7 linked regions of the Cricetulus griseus genome follow. The protein of the gene in region 7 purifies or fractionates together with the protein of the main gene of each other region. This does not show direct contact. Links are inferred from orthologs where the notes say so. Each region holds a gene or a part of one and is shown on either strand. Other genes may lie near its edges.

Region 1 (3,500 bases), on a different chromosome or scaffold from region 7:
GCTCCACATCTCCACGGTGGCTCTGCTATGTTACTGCAAAAGTGTACCTGTCATTGTCACCACATGGACATCACCACAGAGACTTTTTCACTGGCTTTAACTGCCCTGTGGATACAAAGCAGGGGACCAGTCACAGGCTCCCAGCCTGCCTTTGTTGCTTTGCTTTGTGAGATAGGGTCTATCTATGTAGCACTGGCTCTCCAGGAACTTGCTATGTAGACCAGGCTAGACTCAAACCACAGAGATCTGCCTGCTTCTACCCGAGTGCTGGGAGTAAATATGTGTATCACCATGCCAGTCAGAGTTCAGTCTCTGTGGATGACTAAGACCAGAGCTGAGTCCACAACCTTATAGTGTCTCTGCCTAACAGGTGCCTGCCTCACTTTTGCTGCAGTAGGAAACAAATCAGTCAGCAGCACTTGGGAGCCAGGGCCTCCTGCCAAGGGAGCATCGTTTCCCAAACAGCAAACCCTTCTATTCAGTGCAGGCCATGCATTTTACAAGATAGGGCTCAACATACCATTAGCTATAAAAAGCATGAGGGTTTTCCCCAGCTGCACAACTACGCTCTACACTTAATTACCAGGTCACTTCATCTGCAAAGGGACAAACAGATGCCCTGGCTTGGGGTAGGAAACAACAACAGTATTGATGGGTTGTGTACCCATCATCATGGAGGGGAGGGCCAGGTACTCGACACACCTGTCCTTGAGGCACTGACTAATCAGTCTGTCTCAGTGTGACTCCCTGATAAAGAAGACCAACTCAGATGTCATGTAACCAGGGGACTTCCAGATGCTGAAGGCCAGAGGTCCTGAGAGTTCAATTCCTTCTGAGCTAACTAACAACGCACTCACTGTAGGCTGTATTTTATGGCATATTTTTGTAATGCTCCCCTAGCTCATCTGCATCTTACATGTTGCAGAATCTCAGAACTCAGTTCTAGAACAAGAAAGAGGGACAAGCCTGAGGCTGACTTACATCTCCAAAGTAGAAAATGCTATGTAGCTTGTGAATGTTGAATCCAGCAGTTACCAACAGCACTACCACAAGGGCCCGGGGAGTTACCAACAGGGAATGGCTTACAGGGCCACAGTTAGGGAAGAACCTCTGTCCTGATACCTCGTGGCCCTCCACTCCCTCCTGAAAGCACAAGCATGCAACATGCTTGGAGGAGCTGAGTCTGGTTTCTAGGGTGCTAATTAGAGGATCTACACAGAGCCCTGGCTATCACGTGTGCTGGCTTCTGCTCACACAGGCCCCATGGAAACAGTTACATGCCAGGACACTGAGACTCTAGCATGTTCTGTGACTGAGTACAAACCTAACACCCAATTGTGCTGACAGAAGTTACCTTTACTGGAAATTTCAGCTGATTGTACAATTCAGAAACTAGAAGGTTGTGACCAAGAGTCTTTCTCATTTTCATTATTCGGACTATGGCAGCGTCGATCTGGTACTGTCTGTCCTGGAATACTCTCTCTGTGGTACTAACTTGTTCTTCAACCTGGACAAAAGAAGAAAGAACTAGAGGTGTGTAAAGATGTTTCAGTGTTGCTTTGTTACATTGTAATTTGTTCTATGAAAGCTCAACTTTTCACAAGTGTATAACTCTAAAACTAATACTTGGACAAGTAATTTTAAGATTTGTAGTTTTCTTATACAAATGCTTATATTAAGGCTTCCTAGCAGCAAAGGACAGCTGTGAGCCCCTGTGGATACTGGGAACTCAGGTTCTCTGGAAAAGCAACCATTGTTCTTAACCACTGACACACCTCTTTTGCCACCTTATACTGCATTACTGAGTAATTTGAGAATTTGAATATATTTTCTGTCCAGCAAATTGAAAGCCTCACGATGAATGACATAATCATTGTATATGGGAGAGGAGAAATCTAATAATTAAATTTGTTCCCCCTGCCCCCCCCCCCACACTCAGTAAGAACTCTCCTCATATACCTACTTAGACTAAGCATTTCTAGGAATGAGGAGGCCATTAGAAGCCACTGTGTAGCTACTGGTCAGAAGGGCTGGCAGCTTTGGTCTTAAGCTTGTGTACATTTGGGAAACTAAGAAAGAGCCTGCTCCCTGCTGGAATTGCTGTAGTCTGTACATTCTGTGGGAAAACTCCTTCTTCCTCCAAGGCCTAGCCTGGAGCAGCTGACTGTGCCAGGCAAAGCAGAAGGCAGGCACTCGATCTAGAAATCCCATGAGCTTCTTTAGCACTGGCATTCGATACAGGAAGGTATGATTTCATATATGGGCACAGCTGTTACACATATTTCACCACTTTTGCTTCTACTGATAACATAAAATTAATGAAAGATACACGAAAGGGTACTATTCCAAACCCTGCATTTGCACTAGATTCAGACATGTGCTCTGACCTCTATTAGTCAAGACATTACTAAGAAAGGCTAAGGATTCCATGGTGAGACCACAAAAGTGAAGAGAGAAAGCTGGCACTTACGGTTTCCTTCATCTGTATCTGATTGATCTTTATTCTGAACAACTTGTGTTTGAAGTCCCCATTGAAAATGAACTTATCTCCATCTTCTACCTCCTTGCCTTTGGGACTTTTAATCAGAACCCGTGCTTTACCACAGGCAAGAGACTGCAGTGTTCTTCTCAACTCACTGTCCTCTGAGGGAGGCAAAGGAGACACATGTCACAAAACACATGAGACTTAATGACAACGAGAGAGAGCAATGAGAGAGAGCTGGTGTGACAGCAAAGTGTAGGGTCTATGCCCCCCCACCCCATGTGCTGCTGCAGGACTAGGTCCTGTGCATGCGGGGAAGTACTCCACTACTGCCCCTCCAGCCCCTCCTCTTTTTAATTAACACAGTAGTGTCAAGAGCCAGGTGTGGTGGTGCACACCTTTAATCCCAGCAGTTGGGAGGCACAAGTAGGTGGATCTCTGTCAGTTCCAGGAAAGCCAATGTGACATAATGAGACTCTACTTCCAAAATAAACAAAACTAAAACCAAAAAAAGCCACAAGAAATCTTCCTACCTATGCCGGTGGCCATTTTTATTTCTTCAAAGCTGAATCCGTCCCCCTCATTGAACATGAGCAGCACCAGTGTCTGGAAGAGGGACACCTGGAACTCCTTCTTCCCCTTTAAGAAAATGAAGACCATCACAGAGGCTGCTTGGACTCTTTGTGAGTTATAGCAGACTGCTTTATATGCACTGTGTTTGGGGGGATTCAGAACTTGCTAACACCACCAAGTAAGAAGAAATTACTGATTATAAGAGAATGAAATGATTACTGGGCATTGCACTTAAAAAATTCTTGTCTTGGAGCTGGATATGACAACATACACCTGTGAGCCAGTGAGCCTCCTGAGCTGGAGGCCAATTCAGGCTGCTGTGAACCCACTGCCTTTTGCGTTTTAACATTACTTTCCAGACAGCAGGCCTATCTGTTTGCTGCTATTACTGTTTTTAAGTCAATGTCTTGCTATACAATCCGAGAGTAGCCTTGAACTTTCTGTC
Region 2 (2,759 bases), on a different chromosome or scaffold from region 7:
TTGGAAATTAGGAAAAATTCATTACGTACACCATTTTTTTTAAAGATTTTATTTATTCGTTATCTATACAGTCTTCTGCCTGCATGCCAGAGAGCACCAGATCTCATTCAAAGTGGGTGTGAACCACCATGTGGTTGCTGGGAATTAAATTTTTTTTAAGATTTTATTTATTATGTATACAACATTCTGCTTCCATGTATATCTGCACACCAGAAGAAGGCACCAGATCTCATAACGGATGGTTGTGAGCCACCATATGGTTGCTGGGAATTGAACTCAGGACCTCTGGAAGAGCAGTGAGTGCTCTTAACCTCTGAGCCATCTCTCCAGCCCTACATACACCATGTTAAGATAGACAGACAGAGGAGAGAGAGGAGAGAGAGGGAGGGAGAGGAGAGAGTCTCAACTTGGCCTCCTAGTCTTTTTTTTTTTTAAAAAAAACTAGTTTAAATTTATTTTATGTGCATTGGTGTGAAGGTGTTAGATCTCCTGGAACTGGACAGTTGTGAGCTGCCATGTGGGTGCTGGGAATTGAACCAGGTCCTCTGGAAGAACAGCCAGTGCTCTTAACCGCTGAGCGATCTCTCCAGCCCCTGGCCTCCTACTCTTAAACTCAGGCCTGCCTATGCCTCCCGAGTGCTGGGCTACCACACTCAACTTTTTCAAAGGTTCATATATTCCAAGCTTGCCTTAAACTCACTATGTAGTCCCAGAATGACTTGGAACTTCTGATCCTCCTGCCTTGTGTCCTGAGTGCTGGAGTTCAGGCATGTATACTGTGTGGTGCTGGGGATTGAACCCAGGGCCTGTGCTTGCTAGGCATGTGCTCGCTCTACTGATGGAGAGTTACACTCCCTGCCCCTCCTTAATTCCTAATCCTTCTGCCTCCACCTCTCCAGCGCTAGGATAATAGATGTGTGCTGTCATGCCTAGTGATTTCATTTTTAAATGATTTGATTTTTAGACACAGTGTGGGGGAACTTGACTTTTCAGAGTTGTTAGTGTTGCTCATTTGCTTGCCTGTGAATGAAAGTGTCTGCTAGGCCAGGGCTGTGGTTCTGTGTATGACTATTAGTTCTGATTCCATCCCCAGCACCTCCTGAAGGGGGCGTGGAGGCTGAGGGATGGATGCAGGTGGTGGCCATCATACCTGCTTCCTCAGCCCTGGCTCATTCACTTGTGGTTTTCCTATGCTCTCTACTCAGGTGACTGAGCAGTTTGCTCGGCACATTGACCAGCGGATCCAAGGCAGTAGGATGGGTGGAGCCCGGGGAATGGAGATGCTGGCACAGCTTCAGCGATGCCTGGAGTCTGTCGTTATTTTCTCTCGCCTGGAGATAGCCACTACCTTTGAGCATTACTACCAGTGAGTTTGGATCTGTTGAGTAGGAAATGGGGAAGGCAAGCTCTCTGTTGTGGGGCAGGGCCAGCTCACAGGGTCTGAGTCTGAGACACAGACAGGACAGAGTGAGAACTTGGGTCAAACTGGCACCCACGCTGAGATCTGGCCCAACTGTGTGTGCTACAGGCATTACATGGCTGACCGTCTCCTGAGCGTAGGCTCGAGCTGGCTGGAGGGGGCTGTGATGGAGCAGATTGGCCTCTGCTTCCCCAACCGTCTTCCCCAACAGATGCTACAGAGTCTGAGCATCTCAGAGGAGCTGCAGCGTCAGTTCCATGTTTTTCAGCTCCAGCAGCTCGATCAGGAGCTCCTGAAGCTGGAAGACACAGAAAAGAAGATACAGGTGGGTTCCAGGGAAGGGATGGGCAAGGAAGAGGTGAGAGGAGGCCTTCAGCATTTGTGAAATTTGTTCCCTTTCAGGTGGCCCATGAGGACAGTGTCAAGGAGCACAAGAGCAAGAAGGAAGAGGCTGCTAGAGAGATAGCAGCTGTGGCTATGGCAGAAGAGGAGGAGGAGAAAGAGGAGGAGAAAGAGGAGGAGAGGGAGGAGGAGCAGGAGGAGGAGCAGGAGGAGGAGGGGGAGGAGGAGCTATATTATGAAGGGACAATGCCAGAAGTGTGTGTGCTTGTGCTGTCTCCACGCTACTGGCCTGTCACCTCGGTCTGCCACATGCTCAGTTCTACGGCACGCCTGCCCTCATATCTGAGGGGGACTTTAAACCACTACTCCAACTTCTACAACAAGAGTAAGCAACTGGGAAGAGGGCTTGGGCTTTGGGGACAAGGGTTGGCTACTGAGAAAGGGACAGAGAGTTGGAGTAGGTGCTGAAATCAGAAGCCTGCAAGGCTACAACCATAGCATCCCAGCATGCCCTTGTGCAGGGGGTATAGGATTCAGGAGGTAAGACTTCCTTAGAGGGACAGGGAATAGGGGGAGATAGAGGTATAAGTCTTCTAAGACAGGCCACAAGAAAGGGCTTTATGAGTGGGTGTGTCCAGGCATAGTGGAGTACACCTTTATCCCAGAACTCTGGAGGAAGAATCAAATGGATCTCTAAGAGTTTGAGTCTAGCATGTGACTAGCATGGAAGGTAGTCTGCATAGTGAGTTCTAGGCCAGCCAGAGCTACACAGAGACCTTGTCTCAAAAACAGAACCAAAGAGTGGGTGTGTGCTCCTCCCTCAATGGTCACATTTAGTCTCAAAGTGTTGGCTGGAGATGAGACTCTAGACTGGGCAAATCACAGCAGGCGAAGAGCAGAGCCCCCTCAGGAGGCCCAGACAGGCAGGAGGACAAGCCTCTCAACTCAGGGATTTTTGTCTCTAAAACAATTGAACACAACTCAAAGGGTATGGCTG
Region 3 (3,500 bases), on a different chromosome or scaffold from region 7:
AGCTGGGTTAAGACTTACAGATCTGGGTCATGTGTCCCTGAATGGTTACACTTTACAGAACTTATCCTTAAGGGCTCAACTGTGAAAGCATATCTGAGACAGCCGCCACCTGAGTGTGGAGCTCCTGTAATTTTGGAATGTTAGATTAGAAGTGATTAGTAAACTTTAATCCCAGCACATGGGAGCCAGAGGCAGGCAGAGTTTGAGGTCAGCCTGGTCTACACAGTTGAGTTTTGGGGCAACCAGAGCTACAAAGTGAGAAGATATCTCAAAAAAAAAAAAAAAAAAAAAGATTGGAGACTGTAGGCTATGAAGTACCTGCTCTGCAAGTCTGCAAAGAGAAAAAAAGTTTTCAGTCAAAAAGTAGGGTAGAGTGAACTACAGCCCATTGCAAACTGAAACCCTGAAGCAGGACTGCAGCACTGAACAGGGTTGAGAGAAAGGCAGCAGACAAAGGGGCCTCGTAATGGCTTTAGGATCAGGACAGAGCATTCTAGAAGAACTTTCAAGGAAGTGTGGGCATGGCTAAAACTACTGAGGAACAGGATTATAGACAAGCACTGGCGTTTTGTCAGGGACCCCTGAGGGGTGAGGGCAGGCCGAAGAGTCTCAGAACTCAGATCTGCCAGTTGCAATCTGTGAGCCCGTGAGGCCACTCTGGCCAAGGAGATGCTCTTGCATGCAGGCATCCCTGGATTCTCTCAGGGCCCATTTCTCAAGATAGAAGAGTTGAATTTATGGTACAATTTTAGACCAAAAATAATACAAAACATGTTTTCACAAGAGACTGTCAGTGCCGGATAGTTCTAAGCTTGGAAGTGCTAATGGCTATCCTTATGACGGGAAAGATTTAGGCAAAAATGAGTCATCTCCGCTGTCTTTAGATCCAGGAAGAACAAGCTGGTTTTTTCTTCCTTCGGGGACTCCATATAAGAATGTGGCATGCATTCAAGGGGTAGTAAATCATGCCCTACTTCAGCTCTCAGCACTCTCCTGCTGAACTCAGAGGACAGAAAAGAGGACCAGCCAATCTTTGCTGATGTGGCACCATGGCATAGGAACAAATCAAAAACAAGGCTTATTTGCCCTATTCTTAAACATACTTGAGCTGAGCCAACCGCTCACAAACTTCCCGACTACCACCTGACTCAATGCAATGACCTCACTGTGATAGCAAAAGCACCGAGTGAGAGAGTAGGTCTTCAGACAGCTACACTGCATACGGAAACGGGCGCTTCTTACCGTGGTCCAAGATATAAAACACACTGCTCTTCCCTCTGCATTTTCTCCAGGGCTTTGTCAATTCCAATGGGAATGTCGTGGTCTTCTCCTTCACCAACAATGAACACCACATCTCTGCAATCAAACATCCTTCCACCACAGCAGCCTTCCAGGTGGACTGAGGGTGAGGAGACAGAACAGTCACAAGCCACCCCTCAGCACTGCCTGTCAAGTGAGCGGCCAACAGTGCAGCTCTGTCCACAAGACACACACAGTGTCTTCTAGAAGCTTTGCCCACCCAGTGTGAAAGTTTAAGAACAAGAATATTTTTCTGTTTTAGGTTAAATGAATACTAGTTTTCTTACCTGTGACACAAGGTCAGGATATACTGGCTTATTTAAACACACAATAAGGAGAATGCCACGCATCTAGTCCTGACAATATACAACGATGGCTTAACCATTTGTAACAGTATCTTGGGTTCAGATGCTTGGGTGAAATAAATAAACCAATAATAATGCCAAGCCTGGAATGTCATTTCTCCAATGATACATTCATGTTAGATTTTCTTTTCTTTCTTTCTTTCTTTCTTTCTTTTTTTTTTTTTTTTTGAGGCAGTCTTTTTATATATCTCAGGCTGGCCTGGAACTCTTATTTTCCTGCCTCTGCATTCCAAGTGCTTTCTTATTATATTATTACAGGCCGGCACCACATCTTGTTCCAATTACTTTGTATGGCGGTGAGGACTGACCCCAGGGACTTGTGCAACAACCAACCACAGAGCTACACCCCAGCCCAACTACCTTTAATGCCCATGTTCCATATGCCTTTCTCGAAGGTCTTTTACTCACTAAGAAAAATGGCTTGTGAGCCAGTGCAACAGTCACCACGATTCCTCTTTGATAATCTGGAAAGTTCTTAGGCTGCTTAACTGATGTGGGGTAAGTAACTACGTAACTTGCTTTACAGAGTCTTGAGAATCCACCCTCTCTTACACATTAACTATGTGTCCTATGACAGCTGTCAAATTCCAAACACAGACCCAATTCCAACTCCCTCCACCACCCTTATCTGATCTCAGCAGTCTCCTAAAAGGCCTGAAGGTCTATGATTCTGTTTCAGCTAGAAGCCACCTTTAATGCTAATTCCTGTGGTTAACCATTTGATCCAGCACCTTTAGCCTAGGCCTGATAAGTCAGAGGGACTCTGACTATCAACAGCAGGGCCTCAGTCAGCAGAGTCAGGACAACCTCCAGGACGAACACCACGCTGGTTGCTCCCTCGGCTGTCAACCCAAATCCTGAGTCAGTTCCTTCAAAGCAAGGGCTGCAGCCTGGATCTCAGGGTGTGCATAGAGCCTCTTGTTTTATTTCCCACACTTGTTAATATCTATGATGACCACTTCTGGAATGTTCTAAATAAAATAATAGCTAACTTGCAGATACCTCCCCCACCCCACCCCCAGTGCACAGGTAGCGTGAAAAAACCAGGTTGAGTGTAGTGTGAGAGGCATCCAGCTGGACAGCTGTGAGCACTGCCAGCAGCCGCTTCCATTTTTTTAAAAAAAGACTTAACTTTATTTTAAAAATTTAAAATACATGTACACCAGAGGTTTGGGAGCACAACTGAGGCCCATGGTTTTGTTTTTTTTTTGTTTTGTTTGTTTTTCTAGAGTAAAGGTGATGTTTCTAAAGGAACTGGGTTTTTAGGAAGTTGGGTATCTATTCTAAGCCTAGCTACTCAAAAGGCTGAGGCCGGAGAAGCATACACTGTGGCCTATCTCACAAGAAACAGTGAAGAGAGGGATAGGGGTAGCTCACAGTGGCAGAGTACTTGCCCAGTAGGTACAAAGCCTGAGGTTCAAGCCCCAGAACCTCCAAAAATAAACAGAATTTAGACCAACTTCTCACTAGAGATCTGCTGAGCACAGGAGTTCTTGCCCATGCACAAGGTAAGCACATCTTTAGACTGACAGATTTGGCGGGGGAGGGAATTCTGAAGTTTATTGTTAGGTGATCACCTTCCTCCTCAAGTGCGGTGTCTTTAGCTCGGAGGAAGCTATCAGTACATTTGTTGTGGCTTTTGGTCGATCAAGTCTGAATGTGTTTTCAAAACAGGAAGTCCAGAGACTTCTGCAAAGGGTCCCCACTTACTATCGGTTCCCTAGACTGATTCGCAATCATGTAATGTGTTTGAAATGACTACACAGTTTCAGAAATTCTCTTTAAGTGTGCAGGAAACAAGCAAAAAAACCAGAAAGTCAAACTGTATCAAAGGCA
Region 4 (3,500 bases), on a different chromosome or scaffold from region 7:
TGTCCTCTGACCTCCACATACGTGCCACAGTACACATAACACACACACACACACACACACACACACACACACACACACACACACACACACACACACACACACCAATCTGATCCATCAGAAAGCAGTACTATGCTAGTCAAGGGAAGGGGAATGGAGACTGTAGAGCCGTGCATTTGAATTTGGCTGCAGCCATATCGCAGTTCTACACAGCACTGAAAATAATGAACAGCTCTGTGATAACTGACACCAGAAAATCCTCCAACAGACACTGGCTGGGGACACAAAAATGCCACAGACACTCGAGTGTGGCCACACCACAGACACCAAAACACAAATACATTACTTGCTATTTACACCCAAATGATACACACAATTTTAATGCTTTTATGCATCAGATTTTTAAAATACCTAATTTATACTTTTAAAATATTATAAAAATCCTTACAAACAAATTGCATGTTTAATATTTATTGTGTGTGTGTGTGTGTGTGTGTGTGTGTGTGTGTGTGTGTGTGTGTGTGTGTGTGCACATGAGAGGTGCAGGTGACTATAGCGGCCAGAGGAAGGCAACAGATCCCCTGAAACTGGAGTTATAGATGTTTGTGAGCTGTCTAATGTGGGTGTTGAGACTCGAACCCAGGTCCTCGGCAAAACAGTATGCAGTCCCGACTACTGAGCCATCTCTCTAGTCCCTAAACGTGCGATTCCATACTAACCCTGCAGATGGTCTGAAGGGTCCATCCGACAGTGATGACGGAAAGGGACTTTTTTCTGTTATGAGCTGTGATCCAGGATTGTATCCCGCTTCAAATACTACAGAGCCACCTCCTCCCACGCCTCTCTCTTTCTCCTCCTTTCTTTTCTTACTAGCCCACCCTAATTTTTTTCCTCTCTTTCCAGGCTGACCTCGGATTTTTTTCTGACTCCTGAGTTCTGTGATTATAGGTGTGTGCCACCACATCCCAGCAGGGCTGTCATTCAATATTCCTTTATATGAACTGTTTTAAAAATGATAATGCACTTGTGTAATAATGAAATCAGATGAGACTTTAAAAATAAAAAGAGAGCCAGGCATTGGTGGCGCATGCCTTTAATCCCAGCACTCGGGAGGCAGAGACAGGCGAATCTCTGTGAGTTCGAGGCCAGCCTGGTCTCCAGAGCGAGTGCCAGGATAGGCTCCAAAGCTACACAGAGAAACCCTGTCTCGAAAAACCAAATAAATAAATAAATAAATAAATAAATAAATAAAGTAGGGGCGGAAGTAAAAGAAGAGAGGAAAGAAAACTGTAGACAAGGTCTTACTATGCAGCCCAGGCTGGCCTCAGGCTCATGATCCCCCTGCCTCAGCTTCCCAAGTTCCAGGGTTAGACATGTGCCTCACACCTGGCTTGAAAAAAAAAATTAAAGGAAAAGCACTGGAGCCAGAAGGGCCTAGGTTTGGATCCTGGCTCTGCCATCTGCAGAACTGTGAGCAAGTGAGTGAAGTTCTCAGTTTTCTCATGTAAACTGTAACACTAATACTAGCATAGGACTAACGGCATCATTGCTACTGTGGGGTAGACTGGTTTAATGAGAACACAGTAAATTCTCAGGGTATGCAAAGAGCTCTAATGCCCTCGGGCCCCACCTCTCCCTCATCCCAGCCCTTCTACCTCTTGGTTCTATAACTCCTTCCCTCCTGCCATCATCCGGAACGGCTGCAGCTTCAACCCAAACCTCTTCCCTCAGCAACATGCTAACCTCAACGATCTGTCAGGACGGACCAGAGGGTGGTCCCGCTCAGTGACCTCCTCCACAGCTTGGGAGAGGGCAGAGAGCCCTGAGAGCTGCAGGTCTGTGTCCAGGCTGGAGATCTGCACAGTGGCCAGGACTGCTGCCACATGCTGATCCAGGGAGCTGCGTGGACCAGGGCCCCGCAAGGCTCTGGCCATTTCTGTAATTAGTGAGAGAAAAGTAGTAGCTAAAACAATTGTGACTCCTCCAAGCTGGAGGTTTAAAGTCAAGCCCAGGTCTGTTATCAATGGCATTCACTACTGTAGCTTAGCATTCCTAGTTCTTCCAACAGTACAGGAGAGATCTAGTCACACACGAGAGAGATGGAGATGCATTAGAAACAAACTCTTCTCTTTTGAGGATACTGAAGAATCGGGTGACTATCGGATAGTGATAATAATGTCCATGTGGAGGGAGACATGTGGGTGCTTTCCAGGCTTTTCCAGCATAAAGGGCCTTTCCTCCACGGTTTTCCCTTCCCTCCCCTCCCCCCACTTCCTCCATGGTTTTCCCTCCACTCTACCCTACTGGGCCAGGGCATGTCTTACTCTAATGTTTTTGCCTTCCCCTCCTAGTACCCAACTCACCAGTAGCTGCTTCCTGTGTTTCAGGGGACAGAGCCATCCCCTCTTTCACCAGAAGCTGACTGAACAGCTGTGAATCACTCTGTGCTTTGGGGCACTCCATCTTTGGACCAGCAGGCCCTGCCTCTGAGGCCTCAATCTTGGCCTTGCAGGACTCAGCTTCTTCCTCTGAGATGCTGGCTGCCGACTTTGACTCCTCCTCTAGCTCTGGGGTACAGGAGTGACTCCGTGAAGAAGGCAAGCTGCTCATGTCCTCAGGCATTAGCCCATACTTGGTGTAGATTTGGGAGTTGAGCAGGTCACAGAGGTTGCTGCCCTCAAAGCGGTTACTGAGAACCTGCAGCACCCCCTCTGCCATCTCTCTGGGCACAGAGATCTCACCTAGGGCTTTTTCACTGAGGGCCTGTCAATACAAAGGGACCAACAGACACAGAGTTCCTAGGGACGGTCATGAGAAGAGTCACCCTGCCAACCCCTTATACCTTCCACATACTAGACCCGCAAAGCATGCCTCCTCCATTAGCAGGAAGGATCTTCACAGGCTTCAACTGTTAGCTCTCCAGCCACATACACACCCACAATTACAACTTGCCCTGAAGCGCCCGTCTCTAACCCACCACATCCCTCGGCCCAGATCGCTCAGGTCTCTGGTACCTTATCCAGTTTCTCATGCAGACTCTGGAAAATCGGCTGCTGCTCACACAAGTCTAACTTCTTGATGAAGAAAAGTAGTTCCCACCACTCTGCCTGGGTCAGGCATCCTGACTCCTCAGTCTTCTGGAGCTCAGGCTGGAGATATGGCAGTGAGTACAGGCCATATGCAGGCTTCCAGTCCCAGGAGGGAAGTGCTGAGGCTGCAGGAGTAGGTCATTCTGAACCTCTTGGGCAGGCCCCACTCAGAAATGTCTGAGTGCTAGCCAGAGCCCCTTGGTTCTGAAACATGCTTCCCATGTCCTCTCTTAAGCTCACCTGTGCCCAATACAGTAGTCCCGTCTCTCTTCTCCACAGCTGCTGAAGTGGAATCCCCAGTAGCTTCCTCAGGCCCCAGGATCTCCAGCATGTGCCAATGTACCCAGTAGGTGCGGCCAGTTGACTGCCAGAAGACCTGGGAGAAGGGAATAATACCAACGGCTCAGTCCTCTG
Region 5 (3,500 bases), on a different chromosome or scaffold from region 7:
TTAGAAGCTAAGGAAATAGTTTCTGGACTTAAGCGACCCCAAGGAATTATGTGAATGGGGCTTTTAAAGATTGGTGGTTGTCTGGAAATAAGGATAGGGAATCACTGGAAATATAATGAAATATCTCATTAGAACACTAAACGAGATTCTATTCTATTGGATACCTACTAGTATAGGTCTCTAGATTTTAAAAGGTAATCACTATGTTGTTTTGCTAGTCCCCTTACATTATTTCATCTTCCCCGTTAAACCATCTAGCAAAAATCATTCAGTACCAAAATGCTTGAAACATAACACTGCAAACCAAAAGCTGGTTAAACCAGACACAGAGATGCACATCTGTAATCCCAGGACTTAGGGGGTGAAGGCAGGAGGACTGCTAGGACATGAAGGTTGAGGAAGACTGTTTCAAAATATCAAGAAACCAAAACTTAAAAAAATCTAGGTAAAATTCTCATGTTTCTTTATAATGACTCTATCACTCTTTCTTATTACCATGAAACTATTAATAGGGTTTAAAATTCCTTCTGGAGGTTTGATACAATGTTCAGAATTCAGCATACCAAGATTTACCATGACTCAGATTATCTTATTTGCCCTCCACTTTTTCCTTCTACTTTGTTATTTTTATCTTATTTATTTATACTAGAAACAGTCATGTTTCCAGGGCTGGCCTGAAATTCCTTATATAGCTGAGGACCTTGAACTCCCGATCTTCCTGCCTCTGTCTGGTTATGACAGGTTATGCAGTGCTGGGGGCTGAACTGGGGCCTCACAATGACTGTGAGTCAAGGCATTTGCAGACTAGCCTAAGGACCTAAGATAGATTCTCAGATCCCACATGATGGAGGGATCCAATCCACCCCCAAGTTGTTCTCTGATCACCACACCTGAACAGTGGCACAATATCCATCTTATATTAACTTTTTAAAGACTACTTTTAAAATATGTGTACATATGAATCTGTGTGTATATATGTATCTATGAGTGGGTATGTGCACCCAGAGTACAGGTACCCATGGAATCCAGAAAAGGACATCGTCAGATCCTCTGGAACAAGTGTTACAAGTGGTTTTTCTGGGAATTAAAAGCAGGTCCTCTACTTGAGGTATATATGCTCTTAATCACTGAGCAATCTATCTAGCCCATATAATATTAATTCTAATAATGTAACTAAAATAGCATTTTGTTTTTTAGGAGAAATGATACAACAGATCTTTCCCACTAAAGCAATACTAAATATTTATGCTGTTAAATAAAGAGGTGTGCAACAGGTAAATGCACATGAGGTGTTTCCTTTTTTTTTTTTTTACCTTTTCCATATACTGTGAGCAATTTGATTCTTGTAATAAATTTGAAGCTTCTTGCTTGTAATATTCTCCTGTTTCAGTCAGAAAGGGAGACACAAAGATTCCCTGATAAAACTGAAAATCAATTAAAATTGTATTAGTAAAAACCAGAACATTTCAGAAATTAAAGGTCTCATCATGTTTTGAAGTAGACTTTTTACCTTTAAGGGAAATTTTTTCTTATACTGTTCAACATGAACAAAGGAGTTAATAACCCCATGGATTACTTTCTGGTTTGGGTCTTCACCACCACGATCACTGAAACAAAGTATAACACAACATGCTTGAGAACAGTCATCTGTGGACTTATACCCCAGTATGCCAATATACAACTGCTAACTTAATGCCCTAATAAAAATTATGAGGTCAGAACACATGTATAAAGCTTGAAACAGTTTTTCTTCATCTCATCATCATCATCATCATAGCTAATAGAAATCATCTCAATAAATGTGATTCGATGGAAAATGATGTGCTGTGACTATCACAGATATAGTTCTTCAGCTATAACCACCAGACACCTGGGCTTCAGTCAGCATCACATTGTACTGAATGGGGAGGAGAGAAAAGCCTCTCCAAGCCCCAGCAATCAGACAGGAAGAACTAAGTAACATTCAAACTGGGGGTGGGGGAAATAAAAGCATTGGTTTACAGATGGCCTTGGGGGGTACAGGGGACATATACCACAAAGTTTATACTACAACAACAAAAAAACTATTAAAGTAACTGAATCCATTTGCAGAATACAGAATGAATATACAGAAATCAGTAGTAGTGCTACTGTTGGCTAGTAGCAAGTTATCTGAATCAGAAATTAAGAAGGTAATCCCATTTTGTATTTGCTTTATAAAATAACCAGAAAAACCTTAAGAATGAAGAAATTAGAGTGAACTCAAAATTAATCAGAATTGACAGAAACACACTACATGCTAATAAAGAACAACATATCAGATCAGTCAATAAACTAAACATTAACTCACCAAGGGGATTAAAACCCCATACTCACTTTTTGATTTCTCTGAGCAGCATTCGGATGAGGATGTCCTGAAGGGGTTCAATCATGAGCTTCCTCCACATGTCCAATGCTAGCTGCCAGGAAAAACAGAAATCATCAAGGCTGAATTAGGTAGATTTTTTTCCTTTAACATTCATTCTAGGATCTTGTAAAATAGAAATACCCATCAACAGAAATAGTATCGGTATTTTAAAATACAAGTAAAAACTGAAGGAAAAGAAATTTCTCATTTAAAGTAGTCATCATCCCATCAGAATTATAAGTCTTGTGACATAGCAGGCCGACTCAATATAAACAGGAACAAGCAGAAAATCACTCTTCCTCCTCTTCTCTTCTCTGGGAGGCACCATGTGAGCTGGAGTCCTCGATCAGATAAGTTCTTATAAATTATATAGACTAATAGTTATAGTTGATATTTAAGACTGAGCTAGCAGTAAGAAATCCTAGTCATTGGCCAGCAACACTGTACCTAATATAAGATTCTGTGTGTTATTTTGGGTGCCTATGTGGCAGCGGGGCTTGGGCAGCTTGGTGGAAAGACTTATCATTACACACATATACAAACAATAATATTTCAAATTTAAATTTAAAAACAAATTATGTTTGAAGTCACTTAAAGAATTTCTTACCTCTCCTATTTCCATAAGTGGTTCATTCATATCTACTCCACCGTAGCCATATTGTAAATCGGCTTCTGTCAATTTATTTTTTTTAATATATTGGGTATTGAGATACCTGAAAATTTAACACAAGTACAATGGATGTAAACTCAAAATCAGTTAGGAAAATAAATAACTCATGAATCTAGAATAGTAATTTTAGGGTTAAGTTTAAAGACTAATTCAGTGATAACTCCAAAAGAAATTATATCCAAGTTAGAAATAAATGAAAACAATATATTATTAGCCCTGGACTTTCTGCAAGGGTTACTACACCAGAAAGAGTCCACTTAGCACAGGCAGCAAGAATTAAAACAACCAAAACAATTTCTCCTGTATGACAACCAACCCTGGGTTTAAGCTTTTGCCTCAGTTCTCACCGTACTGCTACTATTTCTCTTTTCTTTTCATTAATTTATTTACTTATTAGTTTTTTGAAACAGTGTTTCTCTCTTGTGTAGCCATGGCTGTCCTGGA
Region 6 (3,500 bases), on a different chromosome or scaffold from region 7:
ACTTTTCCATTCCTAGTCTCCTCATAAATATACTAAGATTAATTATTGTTAAAATGGTCTCTAAAAGAAGAAAGTTAGAATTCATACATGATTTTTAAAACTGTTTGTTGGGAGAGGTATTAAAAAGTTAGAAAAGAATTGAAATTTACAACACTTTTAGACATAAACTATCAAGAAATTAAACATAAATGCTATTAGTCTCATCCCCCAAGTTAACTAGAGATAAAATTAAGTTTGTAAAAATGTGTTTTTGAAAATATTACATATAAATTTAACCTATGAAAAGTATTTTCCAACTAGTGTCTCCAATAAAATAAATGCCACAAAAGCAGTATTTATGTTTTCTGTTTGTCTATTTTCCTACCCCATGTAGCATTGGCTATGTATGTAGACCAGGCTGGCCTCCCAGAGATCCACCTGCCTCTGCATAAGCTGGGATTAAAATTGTATACTAACAGGTCCAGTATTATTAGGAATTCTTGACTGTTCTAAAATAGTGATTTTCCTTCACTCTGCTTACCTGGGGAAGTATTTATCTGTTTGTCTATTTATTTATTTAGTGTGTGTATGTAGAAACCAGAGGACAACTTCTGCTGTTGCTCCTCAGGAGCCCTCCACCTTGCTTTTTGAGACCAAGTCTCTTATTGGCTTATACTTGTCAGGAATAATAAAGTGGCCGGCCAATGAGCTCCTCAGCACTGTGATTACAACGTCAATACCATGCTCTTTGTACACAGGGTCTGGGGGATTAGCTCAGTTCCTGTGTTTACAAGACAAATATTTTATCAAATGAGTTAATCACCCCAACTCTGTGGATCTTTTGATCTTCACTATTTTTCAGACAGGGTCTCATTTAGCACAAGCAGGCTGGGAACATGTTATATAGCAGATTTATGATTCTTTTGCCTCTATTTCCCAAGTGATGGGATTACAGGTATGCACAGTACAGCAGACTGAACCCAGGACTTCATACATGCTAGGCAAGCACTCTGCTAACTGAGCTCCCTGCCCCTTCCCCCAACTGTGGCCCACATCTAAAGCCTCTAAGTTTAGAAGGTGGTCGAGGATCTGCACCTCTGTCTTGTTCCAAGGTGACACTGATGACGCAAATTTAGGGTCACACTCTGATAAACCAGAGGGTCTAACACAAAAATAGTTAATTTAGTCCTCTCTCAATACAGAACTAACAACAATAGTTAATTTAGTCCTCTCTCAATACAGAACTCTCAGACAAAAAACAAAAACAAAAAACAAAACAACTATGAGGGCCCAGTTAGGAGCTTAATCCTCAGATGAGGCACCTGATTTGCTAGCAACTGCCAGCATCTAGGATTCTAAAACTCAAGCAGTTCCAGGCAAACTATAACTGGCCAATTAATTGAAGACACTTTAAAAGTAAACTCAGAACTGTTTAAACTCTTTATTTTACAGCTCCAATTTCCCACCTCTCTACTTTCTTGCCACAGCATATTTAAATATTATTTATCTTAAAAAACATCTTACTGAATAGATTTCATATATTCCTTTTCGGCCTTCATCACATTCTCGGCGAACCCAATGTCTATTGAGGTAGGCACAGATTCCATTCAGCACTTTGCTGGAGAATCGGTAGTCTTCCCACTGCTGAGTGTAGAACTTCAGTACACTCTCATCCATTAAATCTTCTCCATCCTAAATACAAGCACACTAAGGCTTTAATATGACTTGGTTTGTCACAGAATCAAGACAAAACTTATTGAAAAAGGTACTGCATAAAATAATATGGTTTGTAAATAGGTACTTTTAATTGTTGTGTATGAAAACATGCTAATATAAATTCTCACAAGAACACTAAAAAGTTCTTTCATTATCAAATTAAGTTGGCTGAATATACACACACAGTCAGAGTGCATGCTAAGCTTCCAGAATGGAAGTAGAATCTTTCTTTCATGCTTTTTCTTTAGTAGTAGACCTAGGGTCCCTCTAGCTCTCGGCAACTGCTCTATTTTTAATTCAAGCCAGGCTCTTGATAAGCTGCCCAGGTTGCTCTTGAACGAAAGTGTGCAGCCCAAGTACAACTAGAACCTGTGATCCTCCTGAATTGCTGGGACTGTGGGTGTGTCCACCACAACCAGTGGTAATTTCTTTACCCTGTCTCCCTTGGTTCTCACGTTTTCCAAGGCTGGCTCTGAACTTTTTTTTTTTTGGTTCCTCTGTCTTCATCCTGTGAAATCTAGGATCACAGGCAAGTGCTAGGATTACAGACGTGAACCTACCTGCTTTGTTTAGTTTTTAAGCAACTTCTTATTAAGGAATCTACTCCAAAGCATCTCTGTTTGACACCTTTCCAGTTTAAAACAAAACAAAATAACAGTAACAATAACAAATCAACCTATTAACAAATATAATGGAAGCTAACATACTCATTTAAAAAAATATGGACTATTTCACAAATTTGTAAACTTACAAAAATATTCACCTTAATTGTGGTTATGTGTTATATTATTTTTAACAAAAAACATAACGATAGCAATCCAATATTTCTTCTCTAACAAAACCTCAGGAAGAAAATAGGAAGTTATCAAAATGATTTTTACTTTAAATTTATCAATTTTTATTTGGACAAAATTAATTTGAAAAGTTAGGTATTAATGACATCTCCAAAGCCCTACCCTTCGAAAACACTACACTACCAGTTACAGGTGCTGTGCTGAGTGTGCCAAGGAGATATAGTAAAGGCCAACTGATGTCTTCATCGGTTTCCACGGTGTCTTCACGTGGAAAGCCACAGCCCAGTAGAATTGAAGTTCTACAAGTAACAACATTCAAGTGACCCAACCATCTATGTGAATACCTGGCCATATCAAAGATACAACCAAAGGTTTTGTTTATTTAAATGAAATGATTTTTAGAATGCAAAGCTGACCTATTCTAGATGAAAATGCAAATATGTTGCTGATGAAATAGCTACTTAAAACAGAACACATTTTGCTTACAAGGCTTTATTTGCAAAATGATGTGAATACAAAGGACAGGGTTGTAGCAGGATGCTCCCTGTCTAAGAGCATCCAAGTGGAACATTCGTTATAACTTGTCCGCTAACTCTAGTCTGGTAGAATATGCTCCCACACCAGATGGTGGCGCACGCCTTTAGTCCCAGCACTTGGGAAGCAGAGGCAGAGGCATCTCTGTGAGTTCGAGGGCAGCCTGGTCTACAAAGTGAGTTCCAAGAGAGGCTTCAAAGCTACACAGAAAAACCCTGTCTTGAAAAGCCAAACTGAGAGAGGAGAGAGAATGTTTCCACTCAGCTTCTAAAATACTTAAGAAAAAAAAATCGCAGCATGTAGAATATCCCATATATCATCTATATAAATTAAAAAACTAAACTGTACACAGAAGAGATTCAGAACCTTTCAGGTAGAGAGTAGAAACACTTTCATTAATTGAAGACATCATGTACAACACTAGATGAGGGCTCTACTTGCCCACCCAATGGCGAGTGTAAAGCATCCCAATTCCTT
Region 7 (4,259 bases):
TTGGAGGGCACTTGTCTGTTTAGTTCCTACAATTGAAGAGATAACAGCAAATGCAAACACACATTTGATGTAGCAGTCTTACCCAAATAACACACTGTGGGCAGCTTTTCCTTTTCTCTCACAAATTTCATTTCTAGGTAGACAAGAAGGAAACTCCATTGCTTCTGTAAATTAACTACATCTCAATTTTTCTTGACTAAAATCTCTTTGGGGACTGGCTTTTTTCATGTATCATATCAGCTTTAATCAAGTACTTCTTTAAAACAAACAAACAAACAAACAAACAAAACAAGCCAGGCGGTGGTGGCACATGCCCTTAATCAGGAGACAGAAGGCAGGCGGATCTCTGTGAGCTCAAGACCAGACTGGTCTACAGAGGTAGTTCCAGGACAGAGCTAGGGCTGCTACACAGAGAAACCCTGTCTCAAAAAACAAAAATAAATAATAAATAAAAAATAAAAAACAAAACAAAACTTAAAGCTTTAGGATAAACATTTCTCGGTCTCCCAAATGCTAGATAGCTTGCCTAAAAAGAGGCGCTGATACCTCAGAGACCAGGCCCCAAAGCAGTCCAAAAGGAGGTGTAGTCCAGGATTCGAGGCGGCTGAACACCACCTGTTCTTGGCCCCTTGTGCTGGGGTCCCCAGCACGGCCCACGCAGGGGAAGACCCCGGAACACCCGCGTGAGGCCGCGGGATTCTTTCCCGAGGGCACCGGGGCAGCCACCCGCCACTCGGAGCCCTCCCTCCCCCGGGGGCAGACTGGGCAAGCAGCCCGCGCGCGCAGTGTAGACTCAAGCCAGGGTCTCGGGGTCCAAACCTGGAAGAGGCTACGGTTCGTACCTGCAGCCTTTCGGTAGGTGCTGGAGGCCGGGGCACTCGGGCCCAGCGAGAAAGGAACCGCAGAATCAGCCATGGAAAACGCAGTCAGAAGGTGAGACGCTGGCGGCCGCCAGGCTCCGCCCCCCATGCGTCTTCCGGACCGTGCTGGGGGCGGGCCCATGGAGGGAGGGGCGAGCGCTGGAGAGGGTGTACCCAGTCCAGGGGCGGGGCGAGCACCGGAGGGGACGGGCCCAGGGAGGGCGGGGCGAGCGCCGAAGGGTGAAGACCCAGCCCAGGGGCGGGGCGAGCGCCGGAGGAGGCGGGGTCCCAGAGGCGGGGCGAACGCCGGAGGGGGCGGGCCCGACCTAGGGGCGGGGCCAGGAGTGAGGCCTGCGCTGCGGGAGGTGGAGAAGGCGAGCGGTCTGGCGGGTAGGTGGACGAGCTGGCTAGGGCTGGTCCAGGCTGGCTCATCAGGACCCTGGCAGCGCGAGGCTCGCCTGCTAGGCCCCTCGAGGTGCTGGAGCCTGGATGCTCTGCCCAGTAGGAACAGGGAAACAGGCAGGGAAACAGGGAGAAATGGCTCCCCCTCGGCTCAGCCCACAGGCGCGGTAGGGTGTGATTTTGCTGTCCGCGCCTGGGGGGCAGCGATTCCACCAGCCCCCGGGGCCGCATGCTGTGCTGGTCACCACCGAAGGCCTTCTCTTCGGGTGGTTCGGTGATCTCACTGACTAGGTTTGGTTCCTGTGGAGAGGGCAGGTCTTGTGGGGCATGGGGTGAAGGGCGTCAGAGTCTTCAACTTATTTGGGTGACTTAATTGTGTTGGATTTCAGTATTTATCAATGGGACATTTTAAAGATTCCCTAATGATTAGAATTCTTATGCCAGGTCTACCGTTTTTGTTTTTGATTTTGTTTTTTTTTTTTCATGAAAGGAATACTTTCCTCTTTTGAAAAAAAGTTCTTCTAGGAAGTTCTCTCTAGGGTTCTTTTTCTTTTTTAAATCTCTTTTCATTCTTTAGGCAATACACTAGAGGCTTTAAAAATGTTCTAGTAGACTAGCACACTAGCGTTCAGTAATACCATTTAAGCTATAAAAATTTACATTGTATTTATGTGTTTTCTATTAATTCAGAATGAAACAGTTTATGAAACATAATTTACATAGTATCACAACTAACTGTGTTTTGTATTCATTTCATCATCAAGACTAGGACACTTATTAGGAATGGCTGTTGAGGAACTTCAGTGCATAATAAAAAGATGTGTAAGTAATTCTCTAAAACCACCTGTAAAATATGGCAAGGGCATAGATTATCTTTAATTACTTTGTGGTCACTCACATTATTTACCTTATCTATAATTCCAGCTTTTTTTGTTTTTTACTTGTAAATAAACAGCATAAGAGTAGGAAGGTAGATTGGATTTGTGTGTGTGTGTGTGTGTGTGTGTGTGTGTGTGTGTGTGTGTGTGGGCCTTTAATCCCAGTACTTAGGAGGCAAAGGCAGGGAGGTCTCTGTGAGTTTGAGGTTGGCCTGATCTACATAGTGATTTCCAGGACAGCAAGGGCTATAACAGAAAGATGGGGTGGGGATGGGGGGTAACTAGATAGATGGCTCTCAGTGGTGAAGAGCAGTTGTTGCTTTTGCAGAGGACCTTGGTTCATTTCCCAACACTCAGGCCCACTTGTAGCCTTCATGGGCACTAGGCACCTGTGGGCAAGCACTCATACATACAACATAAAAAGAAATCCTAATTTTTTTTTACACTTGAAAAAACATTTTATTTTTTACTGTGTGTCTGTGTGTGTGTGTGTGTGTGTGTGTGTGTGTGAGCGTGTGATCGCGCACGCTCTCAAGTGCCCATAACCACCTGGAGCTGTATAGATGGTTGTGAGACAACTGACCTGGGTGCTGAGAATTGAACTCAGGTCCTCTGCAAGAGCAGTATATGCTCTTATCCATCAAGCCATTTCTCTAGCCTCAATAGCCTATACTTTTAGACCTGTAATTGTTTTCATAGGTTTCTTTTATTCAGTAGGTTCTAGATCATTCATTGAGCCATATGATTGATGCTTATAACCAGCATTCAGAGGCTGGGGCAAGAGGATCTGAAGTTCCCAGGTCAGCTTGAGCTTCATCTTGAGAGCCTGTCTCAAAAGCCAAAATAAATAAAGACAATCACTAAAATATTTATTAGGATAATTCTAATTTTCATTATGTATTCATGTGCCCTTTCTCTAGAATTTAAGATTTCATTTTTTTCCTTAGACAAGATCAGTAAGTCATTCATACTGAATCTATATTTGCATCTGTCCTGTTTTTTAATAGCAAATCCTAGAGGAGTGTGATTTTAAAGAAGAGGATTTTGGCCTCTTCCAGCTAGCAGGCCAAAGATGCATCGATGATGGGCATGTAGACCAGCTCCTGGAGATTATTCAAGATGAAAAGAACAAGGTAAGTACAAACTTTGCGTCTACTTTTCAGTCTTCATTTGGGAAGGGAATAATATTCCGGTGTTATTACTCATTTATCCTCTTAGTTACTGCTGTAATGAGACTCCATGACCAAGGCAACTAGGAGAGGCTGAGAACGGACAGCCTGGTGATTACCTGGTCATCGAGGCTGGGTGCCTCAGAGTAGTCCCACAGTGGCTGTCCCCTGCTGGGTGCCTCATCGGTCCCATCTGGCCCCAGAAGCCTTTGGAAAGGGCTATAGAGCTGCTGGTCCTAGGTCACAATGAAAGCTTAGGACCTCTGGTTCTGGAAGCATCAGGAGCAGCTGTTAACCTCATGCCAGAGGAGGGGAAGGCCAAGGAGCAAAAGGCGAGACCTTCCTTCTATGTCCCTTCTGTCTGTGTCATTACCACACCAATGTAAGCACTTAGGATACCCCTGTACATGAGGCTCCCTGTTGATACTAAAATCAACTATAGCTCAGTTTTATAGTCCCCAATACAATCAATTTTGTGAGGTTTTGTTTTTGAGACAGAGTCTTTAGCCCATGCTGTCCTGGTGTTCTTAAACTCATTGTGTTTTTTGTTGTTTGTGTGTGTGTGTGTGTGTGTGTGTGTGTGTGTGTGTGTGTGTGTGTGTGTGTGTGTTATGTATGTACATGTTTCTGGGAGTGCAGGTGCATGTCAAGCTCAGAAGTCAACACTGAGTGCTTCCTCCATCACTTCCTGTCTTTTGAAACAAGGTCTCTCACTGAACCTGGAGCTCATAGGTTCATCTAGGTTGTGTAGCCAACAACTCCAGGGATCTGTCTGTCTCTGCTTCCCCAGTGCTTGGATTAGCAGAGCATACCAGTGTGCCTAGCTTTTTGTGTGGGTTCTGGGAGTCTGAATTCAGCAGCCCATCTTAGCTGAGAATACACCTGTCAAGGTGAGTGAGTGGCACCATTGCATCGGCAAGGCAGAGGAGGGAGGAGAGCATAGCACACTG

What was found.
Region 1: the proteins of Glmn (region 7) and Cul4a purify together in Homo sapiens (affinity purification with mass spectrometry; 5 studies listed by BioGRID and IntAct, counting the BioPlex papers as one, with this or other methods). This does not show direct contact. The link is inferred for Cricetulus griseus from reciprocal best matches to the Homo sapiens genes GLMN and CUL4A.
Region 2: the proteins of Glmn (region 7) and Cul7 purify together in Homo sapiens (affinity purification with mass spectrometry; 4 studies listed by BioGRID and IntAct, counting the BioPlex papers as one, with this or other methods). This does not show direct contact. The link is inferred for Cricetulus griseus from reciprocal best matches to the Homo sapiens genes GLMN and CUL7.
Region 3: the proteins of Glmn (region 7) and Fkbp5 purify together in Homo sapiens (affinity purification with mass spectrometry; 3 studies listed by BioGRID and IntAct, with this or other methods). This does not show direct contact. The link is inferred for Cricetulus griseus from reciprocal best matches to the Homo sapiens genes GLMN and FKBP5.
Region 4: the proteins of Glmn (region 7) and Cul9 purify together in Homo sapiens (affinity purification with mass spectrometry; 3 studies listed by BioGRID and IntAct, counting the BioPlex papers as one, with this or other methods). This does not show direct contact. The link is inferred for Cricetulus griseus from reciprocal best matches to the Homo sapiens genes GLMN and CUL9.
Region 5: the proteins of Glmn (region 7) and Cul2 purify together in Homo sapiens (co-immunoprecipitation; 4 studies listed by BioGRID and IntAct, counting the BioPlex papers as one, with this or other methods). This does not show direct contact. The link is inferred for Cricetulus griseus from reciprocal best matches to the Homo sapiens genes GLMN and CUL2.
Region 6: the proteins of Glmn (region 7) and Cul1 purify together in Homo sapiens (affinity purification with western blotting; 4 studies listed by BioGRID and IntAct, counting the BioPlex papers as one, with this or other methods). This does not show direct contact. The link is inferred for Cricetulus griseus from reciprocal best matches to the Homo sapiens genes GLMN and CUL1.

Annotation. Positions count from the first base shown.
Region 1 is NW_023276807.1:67,637,486-67,640,985, forward strand, and holds part of Cul4a (cullin-4A), read right to left. Parts: intron 3,122-3,500; coding exon 3,016-3,121; intron 2,644-3,015; coding exon 2,471-2,643; intron 1,508-2,470; coding exon 1,355-1,507; intron 1-1,354. UniProt on the Homo sapiens protein: Core component of multiple cullin-RING-based E3 ubiquitin-protein ligase complexes which mediate the ubiquitination of target proteins. As a scaffold protein may contribute to catalysis through positioning of the substrate and the ubiquitin-conjugating enzyme.
Region 2 is NW_023276806.1:256,079,058-256,081,816, forward strand, and holds part of Cul7 (cullin-7), read left to right. Parts: intron 1-1,205; coding exon 1,206-1,366; intron 1,367-1,528; coding exon 1,529-1,745; intron 1,746-1,822; coding exon 1,823-2,147; intron 2,148-2,759. UniProt on the Homo sapiens protein: Core component of the 3M and Cul7-RING(FBXW8) complexes, which mediate the ubiquitination and subsequent proteasomal degradation of target proteins. Core component of the 3M complex, a complex required to regulate microtubule dynamics and genome integrity.
Region 3 is NW_023276806.1:233,539,780-233,543,279, forward strand, and holds part of Fkbp5 (peptidyl-prolyl cis-trans isomerase FKBP5), read right to left. Parts: intron 1,400-3,500; coding exon 1,243-1,399; intron 1-1,242. UniProt on the Homo sapiens protein: Immunophilin protein with PPIase and co-chaperone activities. Component of unligated steroid receptors heterocomplexes through interaction with heat-shock protein 90 (HSP90).
Region 4 is NW_023276806.1:255,963,366-255,966,865, forward strand, and holds part of Cul9 (cullin-9), read right to left. Parts: intron 3,463-3,500; coding exon 3,327-3,462; intron 3,212-3,326; coding exon 3,012-3,211; intron 2,761-3,011; coding exon 2,361-2,760; intron 1,934-2,360; coding exon 1,741-1,933; intron 1-1,740. UniProt on the Homo sapiens protein: Core component of a Cul9-RING ubiquitin-protein ligase complex composed of CUL9 and RBX1. The CUL9-RBX1 complex mediates ubiquitination and subsequent degradation of BIRC5 and is required to maintain microtubule dynamics and genome integrity.
Region 5 is NC_048596.1:210,663,900-210,667,399, forward strand, and holds part of Cul2 (cullin-2), read right to left. Parts: intron 3,100-3,500; coding exon 2,994-3,099; intron 2,439-2,993; coding exon 2,356-2,438; intron 1,608-2,355; coding exon 1,511-1,607; intron 1,425-1,510; coding exon 1,314-1,424; intron 1-1,313.
Region 6 is NW_023276806.1:222,448,551-222,452,050, forward strand, and holds part of Cul1 (cullin-1), read right to left. Parts: intron 1,672-3,500; coding exon 1,504-1,671; intron 1-1,503. UniProt on the Homo sapiens protein: Core component of multiple cullin-RING-based SCF (SKP1-CUL1-F-box protein) E3 ubiquitin-protein ligase complexes, which mediate the ubiquitination of proteins involved in cell cycle progression, signal transduction and transcription.
Region 7 is NC_048600.1:2,356,788-2,361,046, reverse strand, and holds the start of Glmn (glomulin), read left to right. Parts: upstream 1-1,459; 5' UTR 1,460-1,491; coding exon 1,492-1,553; intron 1,554-2,026; coding exon 2,027-2,084; intron 2,085-3,147; coding exon 3,148-3,273; intron 3,274-4,259. Other genes in the region: putative RNA polymerase II subunit B1 CTD phosphatase RPAP2, read right to left, coding at 1-26, 843-969.